Linked DNA regions of Rhinolophus ferrumequinum. The protein of the gene in region 2 interacts with the protein of the main gene of each other region in a pairwise test. Links are inferred from orthologs where the notes say so. Each region holds a gene or a part of one and is shown on either strand. Other genes may lie near its edges. The genes, in order: CASTOR1 and ZC2HC1A.

Region 1 (8,148 bases), on a different chromosome or scaffold from region 2:
TTGGGACTTTTCCTAAACATCAGTGAAGGGCATGTGGGCATCTCAGGCTGCTGGGAACCCAGACACAGAACAGGGCACAGAGGTGCAGAACCCAGGGACAGGTAGAAGGTGGTGGGACAGACCATAGGGAACAATAATGTGAGGACGAGACTAAGTACAAATGAGGCCCACCTGTGGGAGTAGAAGAGGACATCGATGAGGGTGGTGGCAATGGCTGGTAGCGTCTCAGGGTCCAGCGTAAGGACACAAAAACGGTTCTGCGGGCTCTGAATGGGATGCACCGTGGGGCTGGGCCCTGCTAGGGAGGAATCCGGAGGTGGAGGGTGAAAACAGGACTATGGGCTGGGGTGCCCCCTGGTGGCCGGCCAGGGAGGGGCCTGGGCTGGGTGTACAGTCCTCTACAGGAACCTGCCTTGATTTTCCCAGCCTCACCTCCCGGTCTTGTGAAGCAATCATTGTCAGCTAGTCTCCCCCTACACACAGACTCACCCACACAAGCAAAGGGCCCCAGTGAGAACAGGAGCCCCCACTCCCCACCCAGGTCTTGGTGTCAGAGGGCACCCTCACCATGCTGAGCTCGGGGAAAGCCATTGCTGGAATCATCCCTGGCAACAGGCACAGGCTCCCCGCCCACCTCTCGATAAATGTCGAACTCCTGGGCCAGCGTGTGAATCACCACAGACAGGTCCTGCTCCCGCACCTGGGCCGCAGGGACATGGCACATCACATGAGTCCCCGGGCACCCATGCCCACCCTGCCTGACAGCGGCCCCGTGGGAAACTCACCAGGATGAAGTCTGTCTGGTAAGTGGACAGCATGAGCACAGATACGTGGTGCTCGGCCAGCGGTGCAATGACGGAGCGGGCGATCTTGGTGACCCCAGCAGCTTGCACTGCTGTGCCGCTGTGGGATGATACGTTCATCACCAGCCATGTGGCCTCAGCCACTTGCAGGAACTCGGATGGGGGCAGCTCTGTGGGCACAGGGCACATGACCAGTCAAAGCCTGCAGGGCTGGCCCCTGCCCGTTTCCCTACCTGAGCCTTGAAGTGCTCTACCAAGGTAAGGTCAGGTCTGGAGACTGGGGCTATCTCCCTTCTACAAGTTCTGCTCTCGACACCTGCGTGTATGCAAGGACTGAGATGTGCTCCAGCTTCTGTCCTGCCAGGGATTGAAACCTTCCAGTTGAGATCTGAGCTCCAGACTCAGACAGACCTGAGTTCAAATCCCAGCTTCACCTTTTACTTGCTGTTGACCTGGTGCAAATGATTCAGTCTCAGTTTCCTCATCTGTAAAATGGGATGACTGTATGTACCTCATTGCAGTGTTCTGTGGGTTAACAGAAGCTTTATACCACGTGACACCACGAGGGGGCGCCACCAGAATGGATTGGCTGGGGGGTGTCCTTTCCCCTTAACTAAACCAAACTTGGCTGCAGTACAAACAGGGAAACTAAGGCCTGAAGCAGTGCAGTGGGTGATGGACCAAGCTCCCGGTGGCTGGCCTGAGACTCCAGGCCTGTGAAGATGGGTCAGGCTGGAAGGAGTGGGAGCCAGATGTCAGCTCCATGGGGCCAGAAGGACCAGGCTGGCGTCCAGTCCAGAACAGGGGACCTGGGCCAAGGTGGCTGCTAATTGCTCAAACATAAGCCCCTCAGGACCCTGCCCTGGGCTGGCTGCCTGCTCCTGCATTCCTTCCCCAACCCTAAGACTCCTGGAGTTTCCAGACCAGCCCCGGAGGGAATGACCAGAACCAGGGAGGGAAGTCCAGGGGGAAATAATGGCCAGGGAGATATAACAGCCATAGGAACCCCTGATTCTTGCCAACAAGCATAATTGAGGGCCTACTGCTGGTCTGGGGCTGCTAAGTGGCCCTCACACACAGCCCATTTATAAAGCCCTTATGGGACCCTATTAAATCAGAACCCATTTTACATAAGAGGAAACAACAGCTCAGAGAGGGGAAGTGACTTGCTCAAGGTCACACAGCCAGTGAGTAGCGGAGTCAGGTAAGAACCCAGATCAAACTGCCTTCGAGGCTTCAGCTCTTGGGACACTGGACCCCAGCATCTGGTGAGAATTCCCCAAAGAGGGGAGCGCGACATCCCTCCCTAGCCCAGCCCCCACCTTTGAAGCCCTCCTCGTCCACCATGAGCGTGTAATCCTCGGGAGTCTCCGTCAAGCTGAAGAACTTGCACCTGGTTGGGGGTGGGGGGAATCTTCAGTCTGGGTTGGGCAGAGGGGGCAGGTAGACTTCGCTCCATCCGCCCCTAAAGACCCACGCCGGGCTCCTCCCAGCCCCCTCAAGCCTCAATTTTCTCCCAATGGCCGTGGGGTGTGGGACCCAACTTCTGAATAGCGAACTGTTTTCCGCCTCCTGAACTTCGCAGGAGCCCCCCGCCCCTCCATTCCAGGAGGGAGGAGAGGCTCACCCGCAGCGATAGCCCCGGGGCGTCGGACCTTGGGTCCCCTAGACCGGCCCCTCTGACCCGATGGGAGGCGTCTGGAAGAAACTCTTCGCAGTCGCCAGGAAGGAATACCCCCACCCCATTTGACACCACTCGAAATTAAGCATTGCACACCCACGGCTGTTTGCGCCTTAACTGGCCCCGGATAGGCGGCGGTCCCAGGGAGCGTAAGCACAGGCCGGATGGCGGCCGGGGGGTGGGGTGGAAGAGCACTCCCCGCCCGCTCCCGCTTGCCCCAGCTCGCCTCGTGGCGACTCTACAATCTCCCGACCCCGTACCGAAGCGACAGTGGAGCCCACCCCAATCTGTGCCCCGGAACCCGGGCGCGCACCGGCTTCGGCGGGGCAGGAATAGCAGCTTGATAAGTGGGTGCGTGTACAGCCAAAGACCGGGGCGGGCGAGGCTCAGCACCCGCACCCGGTGCTCTAGGATGTGCAGCTCCATCGCGGTCGGCGCGGACCGGACCCCGCCGCCAACCAGACCCAGGCCGCGCCGGGGGCGGGGCGGGGGAGGCGGCGCCGGAGGCTTAAAGGAGCCGCTCCGCGGCCGCTTCCACGCCGCCCGCTACTCCCCGAACCCGCCCAGTCCCTCGCCGCGTCCTGCTCCCTGACGGCCACGCCCTGAGGGACGCGCGGCCTATCCGGGGTGGCCACGCCTCCTTCTAACGCCAGAGCCTCACCCAGCTCCTCTAGTCCACCGAGCCCCGCCCCGGATGACTCCGCCCCTTTAACATTGGTTTAGTTTAGGGAATCACCAGCTGACCCCATCCCGGTCGAGTCCTCCAGACCCGGCCGGGCCGCGCCCCCTCTCCGGGCTCCGCCCATTCCACCGGTCGAGGCTGGGATGGGAGGCTTGCGTGAAATGTGGGGTTACGTCCTTTGGGCCCCCATCTGGGCCTTATGATTGAGGTCGTTGAGGCTTTGGAAGGGCCATGAGGTGAACCGGGGCTCAGCTGGGACCAGAGTGTTGCCCCCAAACCGCTGGGGCATGAAGGGGTAGGGGTGCGCTCTGCAGCCCTGGCAACCCTGTGATTCTCTTCCAATAAAGTATCCTGGTGCCTTTCTCCTTCCTCTCATAGAAGACTCCCCACTAGGGTCACAGAGATAGGAAGGGCCCCATCCACCTCTGTCTGAGCAACTTACTGTTGGGTAGGGCCGTGAAGGTGGTCAGGCCTAAGGCGGCCCCTCAAAACTAAGTGCTTGGGCCAGGAATGCCCAAGGCCCAGACTTCAGGGTAGTCAGATCTCAGACCTGAGAACTGAGCCCTGCTGAGGCCTCCCAAAGCCTGCGGCCATTAGTAGAACCCAGTCGGCCTGAGCACATCTAAACTTGCTTCATGCCCAAGGAGGCCCCCAGTGCTGGCAGATGCCCCAGATCTGAGGCTTGTTAGGACCAACTTGGGCTCGTTTCAACGTGGGGACTGGGTTCTGCTCAGGCCTCCTCAGGTTGAAGACCCCAAGGCTGAGCAGCCATCCGCACACCGAGGCTGCCCCTGTAGCAAGACCGAGCATGCTCTGGGGGACACTTGTCTGGGCAACACATTCTCAAGCTTCAGATCTGCGGCTTTGAACGGAGCAGGTTAAAGCAGGCCTGCACAGGCCTCCTGCCTGCTTAGGAGCCTCCACTGTAGGTGGGTGGATACGGGGCAGTGCCTTCCCCCACTGGACTCCGGCTCAGAGGGTTCATGTGGAACACTGTGCAGCTGCCACATCCTGGCTGTCCCCTGGAGGGTCAGGGGGAGGGGACCGTCAAAGGCTGAGCCCCTCAATTATCAATGATACAGTTGGGATGGGAAACCACAGGAGGGAGGGCTGGGAGGTAGGAAGTGGATGGCCTGGACAGGCTTATGTGAACTTTGACCTCCTCAGGCCTCAGTATCCCCAGCTGTACCAGGACAAGGTGTCCCAGGCTGAAGGCTTTGGGATGCCTGAAAATTCCTAGGGAGACTCTACTCCTCCCTCTCCTGTCCCCTCCCCCCATGGCACAGCCCAGCTTGGTGGCCTGCCAGGAACAGCCACTATTGTTTGACTGGAAAAGCTGCTTCCTCAGCAGAAGGGAGGGGTCCTCTCCCAGGGACACTCTGTCCGTACCCTCGCCAGTCATCAGGTTGTGACCATAGCGCCTGCCTGGACCCTCAATGACAGTCACCTGGCACCCTGGTCGGGAGAGGTAGCTGAGGGGCTCTGGGTGCAAATTTGCACCAGCTTCACCTTTCCCACTCAGCGCCTGTTTCTTCATCTGTCAAATGGGGATAATAACAGAGCGTACCCAATCAGCTGGTGACACAACCAGTCCCATGTGGCACGTTAAGTGCTCAGTAAATGACAGGCGGCCTTCTATCAAAGACCCGGACTTCTCCTCTCACGCTTCTCCTCCTGGGCTGAACATGTGAGAGCATTCGTGGTCTCCCCACCCTGGCACCAGCACCCAACCCAGAATGAACACTCAGAACCTTACTGGGGTCCAAAGTGGCATCCAGGCCAGGCCTTGAGGAGGAAGACCCTTAAAGAGCTCCTCCCCATCAGTGACGAGTGGGATCAAGGCTGCCGCTGGCGCAGACCCTGCTTTGCCCCAGCACTGGGCTCCGGCCCTGGTGACCCTTACCCATGGCAGATGGTGGGCACGGGGCACAGGGATGGAGTGAGGGGAACAGGGGCTGGCCCTGGACTTGACATCCCCCCTGGCAAGGATACTTCTCAGAGAGGCTCAGGCACCGGGGGTGGCACTCCCTTCCCAGTTCCTAGCTGCACACCAGCTCTCTACTCAAGCCTGTTTATTTCTGTACAAAACCATGTTTCTATTTACACAAAGAGCACCCCACCCTTTACCCCACCCTCTCCCCTCATGCCAGTGCCCTAGCCCTGGGGAGCAACCCCCCAGGAGGAGGGGCCTGAGTGAGGCCCTCACTTCTGCATGCCCCCGCAGGGCCGGCCCAAGCTCCATTCTGGAGATAATAAATAAGGAGGCTCAGGCAGAATCTGTGCTGGGCCCGCCAGACTCTACGCCCAGCGGCCAGGCAGCCGGGCCCCCCAAGCGCCCCCCCGAGGGTAGGCAGGCCCTGGAATGTCAGTCTGTGAACCATGTGTGTGTTGAGACCCCGCTCTGGAGGCCTGAGCTGCCGGGGTTACAAGTAGGTGTCCTCACTCTCCTGGGATGTCAGGCTCTCGTGGGAGTGGTGGTGGGCTGAATCCTGGGGAGCTGAGTCCTGGGGGCCTGGGTCCTGGTGGACTGGGTCCTTTGGGGGCAAATCCTGTGGGGGATGTGCATCCCCCGCAGCGGGCACCACCTTGGCTTGACTTGGGGTTGGAGTTTTGTCCAGCTGCCCACTCGCCTTCGCCTGCTTCTGCTGCTTCTTCTGGATCTCCTTGGGTGGCTTGGGTTTGCCTTTGGAGCCAGGGAGGGGGGCATCTGGGGGCAGGCGGATGGACGGTGAAGGTTGCAGGGTGGGCCGGGGGCCTGGCTCTGCCTCCAGGATGGCCTTAGCGCCATGCAGCCTGGGCGGGGAGCGGCACTGCAGCTCACCCCGGGTCTCCTGCCAGCGCCGCAGCTGGATGAGATGCTCACGCTCAATCTGGCGCTCTGTCACTGGCAGCTCTATCACCTGTGGGGGCGACGACAGACAGGTGGGCATAAGGAAGAACCTCCCCCTCTGCCTCCCAGCCAGGGCCGCTGCTCTGCCTCAGGCTCCCCCATCCTGTTACTAAAGGTTGAATGAAGGTCTGGTCCCTGAGGTGGTCGTCAGGCCAGAGTCGAGTACAGGTGAGCCAGGCCCTGAGACCCACTGCCTCAAGCTGCCCGTGCCGCATGGCTCCGCTTGCCTAACGGTGTGTTACCTAATTATAGCCCCTGAGAGACAAAAATCCACAAAAGAAAAAAGGGAAAATAAAGCCAAGGCCGTGGATGTGGTACCAGGGAGGAAGAGGGGGTGACTGGTTGCAGCTCCCTCTCATTCCCGAGTGGTTCAGAACAGGGAAGGCCCCACAGACCTAGGCCTCTCTACGCCCCCTTATTCACAGCGGGATGAGGTCCGCCCCCACCATCCTGGGCTGCTGTGCACTGGGCCTGGCACCAGCGACTCCCGCTCAGGGGCAGAGGGATACCAGGCTCCCCTGCAAAGGGCCCCCATGTCCCCGCCTCCCTCCGGGTGCTGAGGGGAAGGGGTGGGCCGCACCTCCTGGACCAGGAAAGCCTCCTGCATGATCTTGGGGCTGAGGCTCCGCAGCCGCTCGATAGTCTCGTACTGGCCCTGGCAGGCCTTGAGCTTCTCGGGGGAGCCCAGCGCGTGCTTCAGCAGCACCAACCCCACCCGGAAGATGATCTTGACTCCTGAATGGGGAAGGAGCGCAAGGGGGCCTTTAGGGAGTTGCTCCTGTGGGCTGGGCTTGGGGCAGGGGTGCTCCGCGAGCTCAGCCTGGTACCTTCGCAGAAGAACATGTCCCAGACGCGCAGCACGGAGCTCCAGGGCAGGGTACGGGTGAACGCGCACATGAACCACTCGGTCATGTAGAGCAGCGGGTCGATCTTCTGCCAGCTGAGGTGCTTGTGGGCCACGGGGGACACCTTCTGCAGCAGCGAGAAGAGGATCTCCCCATCCAGCTGGATCGCCTCCTGGGGGGACAGTGAGGCCATGACCATGGGCCAGCAGCAGCCAGGAGACGGACTATGCACGCCCTGGCCCCCAGCACCAGGCAGGCGGCCGGCCTTGTGCTGGGCGCTGGGATACAAGGATGAGCAGACAGCATGTCCTCCTCGTGAGCATGTAGTGAAAAGGGGCGGACAGACATGAGTCACAGGAGCAAAAAGACTGGGGATGGGGGTGGGGGGGAACTAAGTGCCCAGAACATGGCAAGAACAGGAACACTGGATGAGCACGTGCTGGAGATTCCACCTGTCAGGGTCCCTCCTCAGGTTGGTAGAGCGTGTAGGCCTTCAGCACACAGAACAGATCCTGCTGGCTGTGGAAAGGCCAAGCGTGGCAGGGATGACAGGTGCCTCTGTCACCTACTTCCCTCACCTGTGCCCCACTAGACCCTGACAGGTGGAAGCTCCCTGAGGGCAGAAAGAGGAGGGAAAGGAGGAGCTATCAGAGGAAGGAAGGGGACGACAGGGGCAGAGGTGTAAGCCTATGTCAAGGCCAGGGCAGGGAGGAACTGGGTGTTCTGGAGGAACGGAGATCTTCCGAATGGCCAGATGGCTGGAGGCTGAGATGGAGGCAAGAGCAGAACTGATGACGCTGGAGCCTGGGAAACCTGACCCTGGCAGGCGTGGGGACTTCAGCCTGAAAGCAACAGGAGGCTGGGAAGGTTTCCAGTGAGAGCAGGACTGCCTGTGGAGCGACAGGACTGGAGAGGCCGCAAACGGTTTCCAGCCTGGGGGAGGTCCCAGGCCGGGTCCGGGGCCCAGCAAGCACTCACCAGTTTCTCACTGTAGTAGCCGGGCAGGTACTTCTCACAGATCTGCACCAGGCACCAAAAGGCTTGCTGTGGGCGAGAGAGATGTAAGGTCTTGCTGCTGGGTGTTCCTCGCCCGCCCGTCCCCTTGCCCGCAGATGAGGGCCTGGTGGTACCTCAGCGGGCATGTGCATGAGCAGGACAGCAGCAATGGGTGCCTGGGCCTGGCAGTAGCCCTCCTCAGGTCGGTAGAGCGTGTAGGCCTTCAGCACACGGAACAGATCCTGCTGACT
Region 2 (7,429 bases):
CAAGGACTACACTGGAGAAAGAGCAATCAGAGTTTTAGCCAGCAGTACACTAAGATCTACTAACTTTAGCAGCCCAAAAGAGCAATGGGCAGCCTGATGGTTTGTCACAATTGTTAATAACCACTTATTATGGTGTTATAAAAGGAACGTCAATGCCATACACACACACACACACACACACACACACACACACATTCCTATGTACTCCTACACACACACAAACACTGGACAAAATCTCCTTAGGGTTTATCACCTCTCATTTTACAGATGAAAATCTTAAGAGAGATTAGAACTCTCCCAAGTCTACAACTACTTCCATTGCCCTTAGATACACCTATAGGCCTATAAAGCTATATACATATAGCTTTAGGTGTAAAGAAATTAAAGGCTTTGCTCTAATTACCCACACAATGCAAGGTGTTCAGATACAGATTATACAAATTCATAAGCAATCATTTGCTTTTGAAATACAGTGTTTAGCCTAATAGCTCATTTCTTGACTATCCAGGAAGCATAAAGGTCCAGGAAGACCAAAAATAATATAAGTGACATAAGAGCTACATGGAAATAAAGTTGTAAGAAAGAGTATGATAACCTTCAATAGAATTTTTCAGGGGTTTATATACTTTCTAGTTTTACAATCAAGATTAACCTGGTAACCATTTTCAACTAGAAACATGAGTGTAATGCCAAACGGTGCAATATTTGCTCAACTACTACGACATGTTAAGCAAACTCCTGAAGATTTTCTACTGGATACTGAGATAATAATGTTTATTGGATACCTTCAAAGTACTGGACTTGAACTTCCAACAGGGCAAAAAAGTTATCTATCATTGTACCAATGTTTATTAAATAAAATCACAGATGAATTACTAAATGGTAAATTTAAGGCTCAGAGTTTTAATCTTTGCAAACTGACTTAACAGGGACTGATTTTAAAAGAGGAAAAAGAAAGAAAGGCACTGTCCTAACTTCAACAAAAAAACTCTGAGCTTTTATTAAACTACTTGAAATTACCAATATTCAGTTGTTTTGCTCTCCAAAAAGGAAAATGTTAACCTAATTCATTACAATTAAACATATAGTTAATGACAGCAACTCACCTTGTTAACAAAAAAAGAAAAAATCAAACGAAGAGTAAAGAGCAAGTACTGTTTAACATGCTGCATCACAAGCTGGGCCCATAAAACATGTCCATCAGAACATACCACATTACATCAGAATTCATGTATTTCTCCACCCATGTAATTGAGTATTGTAATAGGTTTCCATTACATTTTAAAAAGCATTCTTAGTAATATTTCAATAGTAATCTCTTGGCACTGCTAAAATATAAACTTCACTAAAACATAGGCTCAATGAGAGCAGGGCTTTGATTTTTTTATTTGTTGCTGCATCCCCAGAGCCAAGAATAGTGCCCATTACAAATAAAGTCATTTATCTAACAAGAAATATCTATTGAGTACCTAGTTTGTGTCAGACACTGTTTTGGGTGCTTAACATACGTAAGTGAAAAAATCAAATGAAGATCTCTGCCTTAGTTACAAACGTTGAATACAAATCTGCAGAGAGTGTTGTAAAGCACTTTGTGTGTATTATGATAACCTTAGGAGAATTCCAGAACCCATGCTCCTACCCACTATGCTATAATACCACGTTTCAAAGATTAAAAAAAAAAAAAAAAAAAAGCCGCTTCCAGGAGTCTTCTAAACAAAACTATCTTGAAAGTAGAATTACTATCATTACAATTCTTATTTCATAGAAACTTGAATGATGTGCCTAAAATACATTAAATAAGCAAAAAAAACAAGACCCACGTGTCATAAAAAGTGCAGCTGCCCACAAATAGAAAAGTATCAGAATTCTTGATTATCTATAATCTTCAAGGCGTTAACTAATGAGAACTTCACCTCGGCACAAAAGCATGAAATACTATCATGCTCATTATTCTATTGGCTTTTTGGTGAGCTTAGGTCACTGCAAAAAGTTACCAGTTACTACTTTTCACTTCATAACACAACCTGAAATAATTTATTCTCTAGCATGCAATAACGTCTAGTGGCTCAATGCCTCTGCTTATTCTAAATTCCACCTGAATCTATGTAAATTAGGAGGGGGGAAACAGCTAAATTGAGACAATAGATCTTTCAATTCTGCAGGCTTATTCTTCATCGAAGGAGTAACCATAACTTGAAAAAGAATCTGAAACTGTTGATGCCAAGGCTAGTTGGGTATTTTTTCCTTTGTTGTTTTTGGTCGAATGCTCTATTACACAGAATAAAATGCGCACAGAGAACAGAGAAAAGGAAAAAGCCTGGGAACAAAGCAAAATCTGGAGTCATGGTTACAGCAGAAGGATAAACCGAAAGATAAGGAATCAATGCTGGCTCTTCCTTACACAGTGGTGGTAAATAAGCCCTTAAATCCTCCTGTTAATCTATTGTCCCGGCTCTAGAGCTGGTCAGTGACACTTCCTTGGAAGGCGCTCTTGGCATCCTTCCGACAGAAGATGCTGTAGAAATGGAAAAACGGTTACATAGGGAAACTGGCCAAGGAAAGTGTGGGAAGCTCGAGGTTGGAGACACACCCTAAGGCCCCAGCAAACACTGAAGGTGGGGAGGCCGCGGACATTAATGGAGAGTCCACTTTGTAAGGAAAATCAAATCTGGCCAGAAGCTGTGATAGGACGCTCAGGAATCTAGCAAGACCTGAATATGGTCGCGAGGGACTTGCAGGCGTGTGCCAGAGGCAATATCAGGATCCGGGCGGCAAACCTCAGCCGAAGACCGTCCTAGGCGGGGATCCCCGCCTGAGGATCACTGGCCCCACCGCGTCGGGGGCTGTCCGGCTCCCGCCGACCGGGGCCTCCGGAGGCACCGCGTGGTTCGGCTCCGGAGCTGCCATCGCCTGCCTAGTACCGGTGTCGAGGGCCCCATAACTGCTACGGGCCTGCTCCAGTTGTCCGGCCCGCATCCCTTCACCTCCTCACCTTCCAGTCCCTCCATCGCGCCACCTACTCAGAATCTGCGAGACTCTTCCAGCAGCACCCGCCACCGCCCAGCTCTGGCTGTGGCAACCCGACCGCACCTCCCACCCGCTAACATCCCGGGCTCCTATTGGCCGACACGACGCGGGCGGGGCTTCGGAGGGGTGGGGCCTGGGAGGCGCGTCCCCAGTCGCCGCAGGCGCCCTGCCTCCTGGCTGCGAGCGTTCGCGGCGCTCCTCCCGGTAAACCCCAGCGCTACGAGGGCCTCCTGCCGCCCGACAGCGCCTTTGTTCCAGTGCGGCCTTGTTGGCCTCACACCTTATGATCCTGTTCAGACTAGCTCAGCACCTCAGGGGCTCCGCATCGCCAGTCCCTCAAGCAGTCCGTGCAATTCTTCTCCGTGGGGCCGTCTCTGCCTCAGGGCTATTTAAGCCAACAAGCAAAACAGCAGCAAGTCCTGCACACTTGTCTGTGGCACACTCTCCATTTTGCGCCCGTGGGTCACGTGACCTGACCTGAGTGTATTCCCTAGATTGTACGGTGGCAGCTTTCGGAGTTAAACCACCGTTTCCTCCCAGAAATCACACTTTCTGTTTGGGACTGTGGAACTGAGATTGCCCGGAGCACATGAAAACGGTTTCCTCAGCATGAGAGCTGGGGCCAAACGTGAGGGAAACGCAGGCCTCCGTCATCTTCATCTACCAGAGGGTTACCTTGGCTGTCTACTGTATCACCCTTGACCTCGAACAGCCTGCCAGCCTCCCCTTCTATGAGGTTATCCCCAAACCTAAGTTTGGTCAGGGAGCTACAGGGCGGAATTCACCTACACATGACCGGATGAGGCCTGTTTCGGTTAGAGTCCTAACTCATTGGGATGAAGGTGTGGACCCCAAAAGGACTCTATCTGCCAAAAAGGATGCGGTGGGGCTGCCGGATGGCTCAGTTTGTTAGACCATGAGCTCTGAACGACAAGGTTGCTGGTTCGATTCCCACATGGGCCAGTGAGCTGCGCCCTCCACAGCTAGATTGAAAACAACCAGCTGCGGCTGAGCTTCTGGAGGGGTGGCCGGATGGCTCAGTTGGTTAGAGGGCAAGTTCTCAACTACAAGGTGGCCGGTTCAATTCCCGCATGGGAGGGTGGGCCACACCCCCTGCAACTAAAGATTGAAAATGAAGATTTAACTGGACTTGGAGCTGAGCTGCGTCCTCCCCAGCTAGATATAAAGATAACACCTTGGAGCTGATGGGCCCTGGAGAAACACACTGTCCCCCAATAAAATTAAAAAAAACAAACACAAAAGGAAGCCTTGTGATTAGCCCTTGTGGTTAGCTGGGCCCAAATTCATAATTGGAGTCTAGACTTGTTTATGAAGGTCTCCCAAGCTTAGTATTGGGGAGAAGCCACCTCTTCAACGGTAGCTGTTCACCTGTATTGTATTTGCATCTTTACTGATCAATCACAGCTGCTCCATAACGACCTGCAATTTTAACCAATCAGGACAGTGCTATATGGACCAATCAAACTGCAAATTTGGATTCCTCATTTGCATTAAAATGGACCAATCAGGGATTGGGGCAGGCACTTTATATAAGCAGCCTCTCGCTTGTCTCTGGGGGGGCTAGTTTCCATTTACAGTGGAGGCTGCATTTCTCCGGTTTGCGACTTGTTCCTCTGAATAAAGTTTCTCCTTTTAATGCACCCCAGATTGCGGCCACCTGTTGACATGGGCAGCAACCTTTTGTTGACAAAGATAACTTCAAAACTAGCTAAAACCTTTGCTTAACAGTCTAAGTGAGTTCACGGGAACTAAATTTCTTTGACAATTTGATGTAGTGAAAAGCAAGCCCTATTGTTTGTTAACTCTAGTATAACTACCAGCAATTTATCAACGTTAATATAACTTCCATAACAAATCTTAACGTTACTTTTCTCATTACCCTGTTCAACTGCAAAGTCTTGACGTTATATCTAACTTTGTTCACTGTTAAAAGTATAACTCTTACAAACAGCATGCATCTTACAGTAGCCTTTAGGAAGCGAGAGTCCTACTCTCCATTCAAATGAGGATGTTATAAACAAGTAAACAAACACTTGAGGGGGACATCAGATATTAGTGGGAAGGTGTTCTAAGTGCACTGGAATGTGGTATGGGTCATCTCTTATCTACAGTTATTTAAGAAAAACTTCAGCCATGCCTGTGTGGTCTCTTGCCCTTCCCCTGGTTCTGCTCTGGTTGTTCTGCTCTGGTTGTTCCGCTCCTCTGAGACAGGAGATCCTGGCTGACTTAGCCACCGGGACCGAGTGTGGAAAGGGCGTTTTCCCTCAGTGTTGCTGGGACTAAGTTAGAACTGGGGTAAGAGGGGATTTTTAAAAAGAGCACTAAGGAGGGAAAAAAGCACATATAGAAACCCCAAAAATGGAGAGGCAATTTACTTTACAAATTACAAGTTCTTGAACTGAAGTCAAGACAAATTTGGACTTGGCTGATACGCACCTTATTTGCATTAAAGCTACATTAACAGCAAAATAATATTAATGATAATAACAAATTTAAAAAAATCACATTAGTGATGTTTTAGGTCTTTTTCATAGATTCACTTATTTAATCTTAAAAACAATTCTACAAATAGATACTATAAATTTCACTTTTTTAGAATTAGATTCTTCATTTTCTAGATCTCTCAGACTTTTTTTGTTTGTGGGTTTTGTTTTTTATTTTTTTTGCCAATATTTATACCACTAGTGAATGGCAGCTTGGATTTAAACTCTGGTTTGTCTGATTCTACCTATAAGGATTTCATGGGATTTCACTTTGCTTTTTAAGTGCCTCAAATGTAAATCCAAATGTTCCAATATGTTGTTTTAAGGTATAACTCACTACTGTGAATCTTAATTCTCTAAACCATGCTTGCTAATTTCCTCCTCTACAGGTATTGGGCTCTCTGCACTTTTATGCTACAGGTACCCTGGCTCCTGCAGCTTTTTCCTAGTCCTGACCCCTGGGTAAAGAGGACAGTTTCTTATCTGCCTTCCTAAATTCCTTCCTCTGCCTCCTACATGCCTGAGCGTCTCTTTGGTCATGGCGCTCTATTCTGACTTTACTTCCTCTCTGACATATTCCATTTTTCTGATGGATTCATTCAACAAATATCTGTCAAATACTTATAATGTTTCAGGCTCCTTTCATTACTAGCCAGTTACCAAAATGAAGAAACCTCACTTTCTTCTCTTATGTGTTCTTAAGCTCTTATCTGTTCATAATTATTTTAACTGCCAAGTTATCTTTTAGCTGATGATAACATTCATAGATGAATATGAATTAGAGATCTTCCCACCTCCTTACACAAAAAAGAAAGCAAAAGTTCAAAGATGTTTACTGAGTCAATCCAGATCCCACGACTAGCAAGTAGCTGACGTAGATATTGTAGCCTTTTCTTTTTACATTATATTTCCAATTCTTTCCACTTTGCATTGCTTTCCATTCAGTCACCATTCCCTGGAGCCAATATCTTTTCTGCACCTTCCAAAGGGCTGAGTCAGCTACACATATCTTCTTGTTTCAAAGCTCCAACCTCCTGTTTTTCTTACACAAAGATCAATTTCCCTTTTAGAGACCTTTGGCTCTCATTCAGATTGTTTGCAGAGCACAGCTGAATGAGATTTGAATCTCAGTGAGAATCCAACTCAGTTTATCAACTGCACTGTGGAGGGCATCTTTTCCTTTCACAGCCCACAGAGGAATAACCCACCACAATTTAGTATATAAAAATGAACTCATACATTTAATTATCATAACAAAATGATAATTTTCATCAAAAACAAAGGAAGGATATTTCCCTTAAAAGTGGGAGAAGGAGCTGTTGAACAGTTGTTCTAGATTGAGGAAGCACATTCTGAGTTGGCTCTTGTTAGCTTTATTTTGTAGATTGAAGTATAAAAAAAATTATTTAGGTGTTCAGGGAAAACTTGGTGATTGTCCTGGAGAAGAAAACACCGAAAGAAGGAAAAATAGAGGAACCTGAAGCAAACTTCATCCCCTTCATTGATTGGAAGGCTACTCCATTCACAGTGTGATGGCCATTGTTCTACCTTTTTCTCTTCTAGTTCCAAAAGAAACTCCAATTCCAAAAGGAACCTTTATTCTCCTCCACTTTCACACCTAATTCCCAGCTGCAAAAGGATAATTGTTTTCAACCTTCAGTTATGATCCCATCTCTCCATCCCTTGCCACCACAATTTCAAATCTCAACTGGAAATCTCTGAATCCAAATACTGAGATACTCCTATGTACCCAGCACGCTTCTAGGCCCAACAGGAAGCTCCAGAGAAGTCTCTCGGAAGCTAACAACTACTAGAGAAAGCCCTGGGGAAGGCATGATACAGAGCAAAAGAGAACAATGTAGTCACTATGTGATTAAGACTTAGATGTTGTGGTACAG

The links.
Region 1: the proteins of ZC2HC1A (region 2) and CASTOR1 interact in binary tests that used the Homo sapiens proteins (3 or more experiments, as listed by UniProt). The two-hybrid records come from large-scale screens. The link is inferred for Rhinolophus ferrumequinum from reciprocal best matches to the Homo sapiens genes ZC2HC1A and CASTOR1.

The regions. Positions count from the first base shown.
Region 1 is NC_046308.1:19,490,228-19,498,375, forward strand, and holds the start of CASTOR1 (cytosolic arginine sensor for mTORC1 subunit 1), read right to left. Parts: upstream 3,024-8,148; 5' UTR 2,911-3,023; coding exon 2,798-2,910; intron 2,197-2,797; coding exon 2,126-2,196; intron 974-2,125; coding exon 786-973; intron 701-785; coding exon 568-700; intron 299-567; coding exon 172-298; intron 1-171. Other genes in the region: TBC1D10A (TBC1 domain family member 10A), read right to left, coding at 5,590-6,066, 6,637-6,791, 6,884-7,073, 7,880-7,945, 8,032-8,146. UniProt on the Homo sapiens protein: Functions as an intracellular arginine sensor within the amino acid-sensing branch of the TORC1 signaling pathway. As a homodimer or a heterodimer with CASTOR2, binds and inhibits the GATOR subcomplex GATOR2 and thereby mTORC1.
Region 2 is NC_046297.1:5,762,760-5,770,188, forward strand, and holds the start of ZC2HC1A (zinc finger C2HC domain-containing protein 1A), read right to left. Parts: upstream 3,110-7,429; 5' UTR 3,009-3,109; coding exon 2,993-3,008; intron 1-2,992.